2 linked regions of the Macaca mulatta genome follow. The protein of the gene in region 1 purifies or fractionates together with the protein of each later gene. This does not show direct contact. Links are inferred from orthologs where the notes say so. Each region holds a gene or a part of one and is shown in the gene's direction. Other genes may lie near its edges.

Evidence for each region.
Region 2: the proteins of JUNB (region 1) and ATF3 purify together in Homo sapiens (affinity purification with mass spectrometry; 3 studies listed by BioGRID and IntAct, counting the BioPlex papers as one, with this or other methods). This does not show direct contact. The link is inferred for Macaca mulatta from reciprocal best matches to the Homo sapiens genes JUNB and ATF3.

Annotation. Positions count from the first base shown.
Region 1 is NC_133424.1:13,345,959-13,349,973, forward strand, and holds JUNB (transcription factor JunB), read left to right. Parts: upstream 1-1,508; 5' UTR 1,509-1,809; coding exon 1,810-2,853; 3' UTR 2,854-3,350; downstream 3,351-4,015. UniProt on the Homo sapiens protein: Transcription factor involved in regulating gene activity following the primary growth factor response. Binds to the DNA sequence 5'-TGA[GC]TCA-3'.
Region 2 is NC_133406.1:70,340,033-70,344,267, forward strand, and holds the start of ATF3 (cyclic AMP-dependent transcription factor ATF-3), read left to right. Parts: upstream 1-1,242; 5' UTR 1,243-1,315; intron 1,316-4,235.

The DNA of each region.
Region 1 (4,015 bases):
AATATGGGCGGCGGGGAGACACTCCGGGGGCCGCCCCGCCCTCAGTCCTGCCTGCGGACTCCCGCCTGTTGCCATGGCGACCAGGCCCCGCTCCTCGACTGCGTCCCCCGCCGTCGGGCCAATGGAACAGTCCCATGTTGCCTGCCTCCGCGGTCCCCTGCAGGCGCCGCGGGCGGAACCATTGCTTGAGGGGAGAGGATGGTGGCTGGAGGCTTCCGTGGCTGGGCAGGCTCCACGCACCCGGGCCTCCGCGGGGGCTCGCACGCCCAGGTTCCTCTTCCGAGGCGCAGGATGCGGTGGGACCCAGGGCGGGGCGCACGGTCCCGTAGGATCCAAGTGACGGAGACAGGGCCGGGCTCCTTCCCCCGGGGCTGTTGCCACACTTCCTGCCTCGGCGCTCTTTCCCCAGCCTGTTTCTAAGGAAGGGAGTGGGGTTGGGCGACCGCGCCCCAGCCGTCGGGCTGGGTCCAGGCTCCAGGAGCCGACACGGTGTCGGGCAAAGCCCAGGGTCAATAGGGGAGAGTTTTAGGATGGGGGACAGAGAATACAGATGCCTAGGAGGTTACCCACGAGGGGGAGCACCAGTCGTGGAAGATCCAGCAGTCCTGGTGCGCAGGACCCTCAAAGCCCCCTCCTCGCATGTCAACTGAGTACCCTCTTATTGTCTTCTCTGCTCCGAAGATGTGTCCGGACCCTTCTGACTCTCTCCTTCATCCGGGCTTCGCAGATGACCCCAGTGGTCACCAGTTTCTGGCAGACTTGTCTCCATCTTCTACCCTGCATATTTTACCTGCCTCAGTGTACCGCAGGACGCTTACTCGCTTTCTGCATACCTAGATTTCCCCTAATTCCTCCTTCCCAATTACGGGAGAGCCCTCAGACCTTCCCATGGGCTCCTGGACCCTACTCATTTCTTTCAATTTAATGGGTCGTGCAGCTCCGCCCACTCACCCCTTTTGATCTCTCCCCTCCTCCATCCTGTGAAAATTCCAGCCCCGCATCCTTCTATGCTCGGGACCCCCAGTCAATTCCTGGGTCAGGTGTCTCCTTACCCCTCCCGATTTACCGTGCTTAACCCTCATTCCTGCTTTTTGGGGTCTCCCAATGAATTGTCCTACCCCTCTCGTATTCTGGGTACCTCAGGGGTTTCTTCGCACACCCTGAGATCCTCAACCTACTTGCTGCGTACCAGGTCCTGGTATTTGTCCCAGTGGACTTCAATGAAATCATCCTCCTCCCTGAAACCCCTCACTCATGTGCCTGGGCCCCCAGGCCTCCTTCCATGCGTACCCCGGGGTCCTTTGAGCCCCTCCCCCTGCAGGCCCGCCGAGCCACCCGGCCCGTGGCCGCTGTTTACAAGGACACGCGCTTCCTGACAGTGACGCGAGCCGCCTCCTCCCCTTCCCCACGCTCGAAGAGGGGGGCGCGGGGGCCCGGCTTCGGCGACGGCCAATCGGAGCGCACTTCCGTGGCTGACTAGCGCGGTATAAAGGCGTGTGGCTCAGGCTGAGCGGCTGGGACCTTGAGAGCGGCCAGGCCAGCTTCGGAGCCAGCAGGGAGCTGGGAGCTGGGAGCTGGGGGAAACGACGCCAGGAAAGCTATCGCGCCGGAGAGGGCGACGGGGGCTCGGGAAGCCTGACAGATCTTTTGCGCACAGCTGCCGGCTGGCTGCTCCCCGCCCGCGCCAGCCCCCGAGAACGCGCGACCAGGCACCCAGTCCGGCCACCGCAGCGGAGAGCTCGCCGCTCGCTGCAGCGAGGCCCGGGGCGGCCCCGCAGGGACCCTCCCCAGACCGCCTGGGCCGCCCGGATGTGCACTAAAATGGAACAGCCCTTCTACCACGACGACTCATACACAGCTACGGGATACGGCCGGGCCCCTGGTGGCCTCTCTCTACACGACTACAAACTCCTGAAACCGAGCCTGGCGGTCAACCTGGCCGACCCCTACCGGAGTCTCAAAGCGCCTGGGGCTCGGGGACCCGGCCCAGAGGGCGGCGGTGGCGGCAGCTACTTTTCTGGTCAGGGCTCGGACACCGGCGCGTCTCTCAAGCTCGCCTCTTCGGAGCTGGAACGCCTGATCGTCCCCAACAGCAACGGCGTGATCACGACGACGCCTACACCCCCGGGACAGTACTTTTACCCCCGCGGGGGTGGCAGCGGTGGAGGTGCGGGGGGCGCAGGGGGCGGCGTCACCGAGGAGCAGGAGGGCTTCGCCGACGGCTTTGTCAAAGCCCTGGACGATCTGCACAAGATGAACCACGTGACACCCCCCAACGTGTCCCTGGGCGCTAGCGGGGGGCCCCCGGCTGGGCCCGGGGGCGTCTACGCCGGCCCGGAGCCACCTCCCGTTTACACCAACCTCAGCAGCTACTCCCCAGCCTCTGCGTCCTCGGGAGGCGCCGGGGCTGCCGTCGGGACCGGGAGCTCATACCCGACGGCCACCATCAGCTACCTCCCACACGCGCCACCCTTCGCCGGTGGCCACCCGGCGCAGCTGGGCTTGGGCCGCAGCGCCTCCACCTTTAAGGAAGAACCGCAGACCGTGCCGGAGGCGCGCAGCCGGGACGCCACGCCGCCGGTGTCCCCCATCAACATGGAAGACCAAGAGCGCATCAAAGTGGAGCGCAAGCGGCTGCGGAACCGGCTGGCGGCCACCAAGTGCCGGAAGCGGAAGCTGGAGCGCATCGCGCGCCTGGAGGACAAGGTGAAGACGCTCAAGGCCGAGAACGCGGGGCTGTCGAGTACCGCCGGCCTCCTCCGGGAGCAGGTGGCCCAGCTCAAACAGAAGGTCATGACCCACGTCAGCAACGGCTGTCAGCTGCTGCTTGGGGTCAAGGGACACGCCTTCTGAGCGCCCCCTGTCCCCTTACGGACACCCCCTCGCTTGGACGGCTGGGCGCACGTCTCCCACTGGGGTCCAGGGAGCAGGCGGTGGGCACCCATCCTGGGACCTGGGGGCGCCGCAAACCACACTGAACTCCCGCCCTGCGCCCAGTCCTTCCACCTCGACGTTTACAAGCCCCCCCTTCCACATTTTTTTGTATGTTTTTTTTCTGCTGGAAACAGACTCGATTCATATTGAATATAATATATTTGTGTATTTAACAGGGAGGGGAGGAGGGGGCGATCGCGGCGGAGCTGGCCCCGCCGCCCGGTACTCAAGCCCGCGGGGACATTGGGAAGGGGACCCCCGCCCCCTGCCCTCCCCTCTCTGCAACGTACTGTGGAAAAGAAACACGCACTTAGTCTCTAAAGAGTTTATTTTAAGACGTGTTTGTGTTTGTGTGTGTGTTTGTTCTTTTTATTGAATCTATTTAAGTAAAAAAAAAAAAATTTGTTCTTTATTAATTTCTGTTGTCTTTTTTTCCAAGCTGGGAGGGCGGAGGGAAAAAAAAGCACTGGTGTGCCCCCAGCTCAGTGCTGTTGGTGGCTCGGTCCTGTATGTGTCCCCCTCGTCGGCTCTGCGCAGGCATCTTGTGGTCCCAACCCGGGAGTCCCACCCTTCCCGCGTCCCCGAATCTCCAGGGTTGGATGGTTGGGGCGCGGGACGCAGTCCAGGGACACAGTAGCTGAAGGCAGGGCGCTGGGGGCGAGACGCGGAGCGCGCAGGCGCGGCCCCGCCCAGCAGTGCGCGCCGGGGCTTTCCCCGCTGACGCAGCGGAAGCGTTGCCCATACAAGGACCGATTCTGCCCAGTGACGCGACCGCGGTCTCTGGGCAGATTCCGGGAATCCCCTCCCCCGCTCTGCCGGGCAGGGCCGCAGCGCCGGGAAGGGGGCCGGGATTTTCCCGGGCAGGCGGCTGCCCGGGCACGGAAAGCCCCAGGCCTGGGTCCAGAGGGCCCGCGGTGGGCGGGCAGCGCTCCTGGGCCCCGGGAGCCACCTCTGTGCTACCTTCAAGACACTGGCGCCTGGGCCCCGCCGCGCCCACGCCCCCTCCGTCTGACCTGACCGGGGCAGAGGGTTGCTGCTGCTTGGGCGGCTTTGCCGACACCCTCCCCTCTACCCCCACCCC
Region 2 (4,235 bases), on another chromosome or scaffold:
GTCCCAGTCCAGTAGGCTCTGGGAGCAGAAGAACCCGTGAAAGCTGAAGATGGGTTTTCCCTAAATATCGCCTGAGAGCGGGGCGACCCCCAGGCCTGGGCAGGTTCGCGGACCCCAAAGCACCTTCTCTTTCCCCCTAGTCCTGGCCACTGGCTTCCGCCCCCTCCTACGCTCCCACCGGGCTGCCTCTGATTCCTCCGGGACTCCGATCTTTTCACGCTCTTGTTGGTTTCACTGAGACGTTCTTGTCAATTTCAAACGCTTTGTGATTGAAAAAAAAGAAGAAAAATCGAACCGATACGGTCCTACCACTCGCCCTAGTCTCGGAGCCCGGAGCTGTCCTGCGTGTGCGTCTATGTGGAGGGTCCGGGGCCGTGGGCTCCGGCGCACGGTGCCAGCAGAGGGCTGCCCTCCGCTTTTGTGTTAACGGGCGGGCTTCTCGCGGTCCCCGCCGCGGAGGTCACACCCGGCGGGTAATGGCGTGGATACACCGAAGAGTGACTTTGGACACCTTCCCCACATCACAGACTAACGCTTCTGCCCCTATTCTGTCCCTGCTAGAGAAGTAGGAGGCCAGTGGGGGAGGGGGTATTTTCCTGAAGCTCCAGAAAATGACCACGCATTTTAGAGAAAGGTCGTGCCCGCTTCCCAGCCTCACCTAGTCTGGGCTGGGGCCGGGACCCGCCTCCCCACCTTCCCCGCCCCCCCGCTCCTCAACCTAGCGGAGGGAGAGATGCCAGCGCGGTGGAGTCATGCCGCTGGCTTGGGCACCATTGGTCATGCCTGGAACACGCAGCAGCGAGTACGCACATCTGGCGGCTATCCCAGGCGACTCCGGTCCTGATATGGAGAGAGAGGGCGGGCTGGTGTGTGTCTCAGTAAGCGAGGCTGGGGGAACGCGCCTCGGCTGGCTCCTCCCCGAACTTGCATCACCAGTGCCCCCCCATCTCCACCCGCCTTCCGCCCCGCCTTGGCCCCTCCCCCACCCCCTTCCTCCGCTCCGTTCGGCCGGTTCTCCCGGGAAGCTATTAATAGCATTACGTCAGCCCGGGACTGGCAACACGGAGTAAACGACCGCGCCGCCCGCCTGAGGGCTATAAAAGGGGTGATGCAACGCTCTCCAAGCCACAGTCGCACGCAGCCAGGCGCGCACTGCACAGCTCTCTTCTCTCGCCGCCGCCCGAGCGCACCCTTCAGCCCGCGCGCCGGCCGTGAGTCCTTGGTGCTCGCCCGCCGGCCAGACAAACAGCCCGCCCGACCCGGTCCCGACCCTGCCCGTCCTCCGGACCCTGGCCGCCCCGAGCGGAGCCTGGAGGTGAGCGCTGGAAGCCAAGGGAGTGAGCGCGACGAGGGCGGCTTGCCTTCATTCCCTTCGCGCCCCTCTAAGTAACCAGTCCGCCGACCCCTGACCCACCCCAGATCCGCGCCCCCAGTCTCCGGCTTGGAAATAACTCTGGCTTTAACTTCTTCTAAGCCACCGCTGCTCCTCGGCGCTTTGAAAAGTTTCCCGCAAAGCGAAAGAACTAACTTTCTCTTTTGACTTGGGGCGCGAAAGGTTCCTGGTGACGGAGGTCTGGCGTCCACTCTGCCGCCAGCCTGGAGCGCCGCTTCTCTCCGCAGACGGCGCTGGCTTGCGGGGCTGGGAGAGGGCGTGAGGTGGGTGGGCGGGTGCGCTGGGGTGTCCGAGGCTGCCCAGCTCGCCGTCCCGCTGCATCCCTCGCTTCGAGACACGGCACTGAGGGAGCCGATCCTTCCCGGGGTTGGCAGAGAGGCACGAAGGCGGGAGGCTTGCGGGAGGGCTGCCCCACGCGCGGAGAGGAATGAATGGGGAAGGGGCAGGAGGGCGGGCGGCGTCGCGTGCGCGGCCGCTGGGGGTCGCCCTGGGCACCCCGGAGCGCTGGCGGCAGGACCGTGAAGGCAACCCCGAGAAAAAGTTAGCTGGGATAAGTTTGGAAGTGGAGAGCGCTGGTGTCGCGCTGTCCCGGGGCGGACGACGGGAAGGGCTCCCGGCACCGGTTGGTGTCTGGAACCCGAGCCCGGGACTCCCACACACCTGGGACTCTCACTCTGGCTTTTCCTTCGGCCGGTCCGCGGGAGACCCACCGTGGCGGGGAAGCGAGGGTGTGGAGCCAGTTGTGCAGATATTTGAGAGAATGGCTTTGTGGTCTAGTGCCAGGACTCTGAGCGCTTACACTGCAATCGATGTCGTTGAGCCTCAGTATGCCGAGCCGGGAAATAGGGGCACATGGGCAGTACCGGCCCCCTCTGCGTGTTGGAGGGCACAATGCAGTGGTTGGACCAGATAACTGCTAAGGTCCTTTCTGTCTGGAGATTTTCAGATTCTAGGGTGGTGTAGTGGGAAGAAAAGGAGCCAGTGAGGGGACTTGAATGCTGTGGGTCTCTATCTAATGTCATTGACCGGTGTCCAGACAGTGGGGGAAAGGGGACTTTTCTGCAGGGCATCTTTTCCCTCACCAGTTTTCTTTCCACTGGATTCCTTCTCCTTCTGTGCTCCTCCTATCCCCATTTTTGTCTCTCATCTACTTCCTTTCCTCCTAAACATTTTCTTTTACCTAATTTCATTGCAGAGGTCACATATGCTTTCTTACAAATAAAATAGTTACTAAATCCTTGATGAAGCCAGAAAAAAAAAAAAAAAAAAGGAGAGCCAGAAAATCTGGATGTTCTCTCAATGTACCCCTTTCGTTGTAGGTGACAGTCACATCTTCTGTTCGAAGTTTCTGTCTCCACAATTTAAAGTGAAGGCAAAAAATTGGTATTACTGTCCCCGTTGTTTTGCAGTTAGCATTGGTTGTAGAATAATGCTACAACATACAGGCTCCTGCTTTGAGGATATCCTGGTCAAAGATGGGATGTGGTGAGGATTGCAGTTACTGTCAGAATTGTTTCAGAGACAGCAAAGAAGGCAGCACCCCACGCCCGCAGTGGGGCTAAGATACAGCACCCAGCATCTGTGGCAGTGCTGGGAGCCTTCTTTCTCTCTCTCTTCCTCCTTGCCCTTTAGCCATTATAGAATTCCTTTCTCTCCATGGCTCTTTTCTTCGATAGCCCCTCCCTATCTCAGTCCTGTCAAAGTCTCCTCTGTGGTTGGTACCAAGTGCCAGGACTCTTGACCCCTTATCTACCTGGCTAATGGCTCTGTTCTCTGGTTGCCTTGTTGGTTGATCCCTTGAGGTGGTGATACCTATTGGTGATGGAGCAAAATGAGCAGTTGGTGGGTGGTCAGCAGCTTGGCATGGGATGGGCCACTCACCAGCTTTATGACCTCAGGCAAGTCATTTTTACCTCCCTGGACCAGTGTACTCATTACAAAATGAAAATCTGACCTAGATGATTCTAATATTGAGAGGGTGTGATTTCCATTAGATAGAGTCCATGATTCCTTTCTTTTTAAAATTGGCTGGGCATGGGACAAGGCCAGTGGCTTCAAGTGTTACCCAGCCAGGGGAGGAGGAAGGACATAGTCAAGATGCCACAGAAGCTTTCCAAGGGAGAAATGGTTTTTAAGTGAGAATTGGTTTTCTTTCAAATATGTAATGGAGAAATGCTGGTGTCAGCAAATAGTGGGGTGACATCTACCTGGTCTGCGAAGAACTTGGGGTCAATCAGAGTACAAAAGAGGCTCTGAATGACCTGAATTTCTTGAAGGTTTTAGTTAATTCCTCACTAACAGGGCTTTGTTGAATTGATAACAACAGAATGAGTTTTTCCTGAAATGGAGAAGATGGAGTCACAGTAATAATGACTACCCAGTGTATATGTAAATCTCATATATCCTTCTTAACAGCCCTTTGGGGCAGGCAGTTTTGATCTCAAATTACAGAGGAAGAGAATGAGAGGCCCAGAAAGCCTAAGTGATTTGTTGGTGAGTGCTTAGTTTGTGATTGGCGCTGATAGGTTCAGAAACATTGTCTCTGGCCCTTGATGCCCAGCTTTGCACCTACAATCTTCAAGAGGTCTGGGAGGAAGACCAAGATATGAAGAGTTAGTGAAAGGCCAGTATTGGCTTCCTAGTAACATAAGATGGTTAGCGAGCAATGCTTAGTGGAAAGAGGATGAAAATTAAAAGTGAAAATTCAATGTAGCTGTAGCTACTAGGAAATAAAAATCTGGGAGCTGAATTTCCAGTTAAAGGAATACATGAGTAGTTTCACTTTCTTGAAAATGATGTAACTACCAATGATACAACATGATTTCTGATTGGAAATAATCAA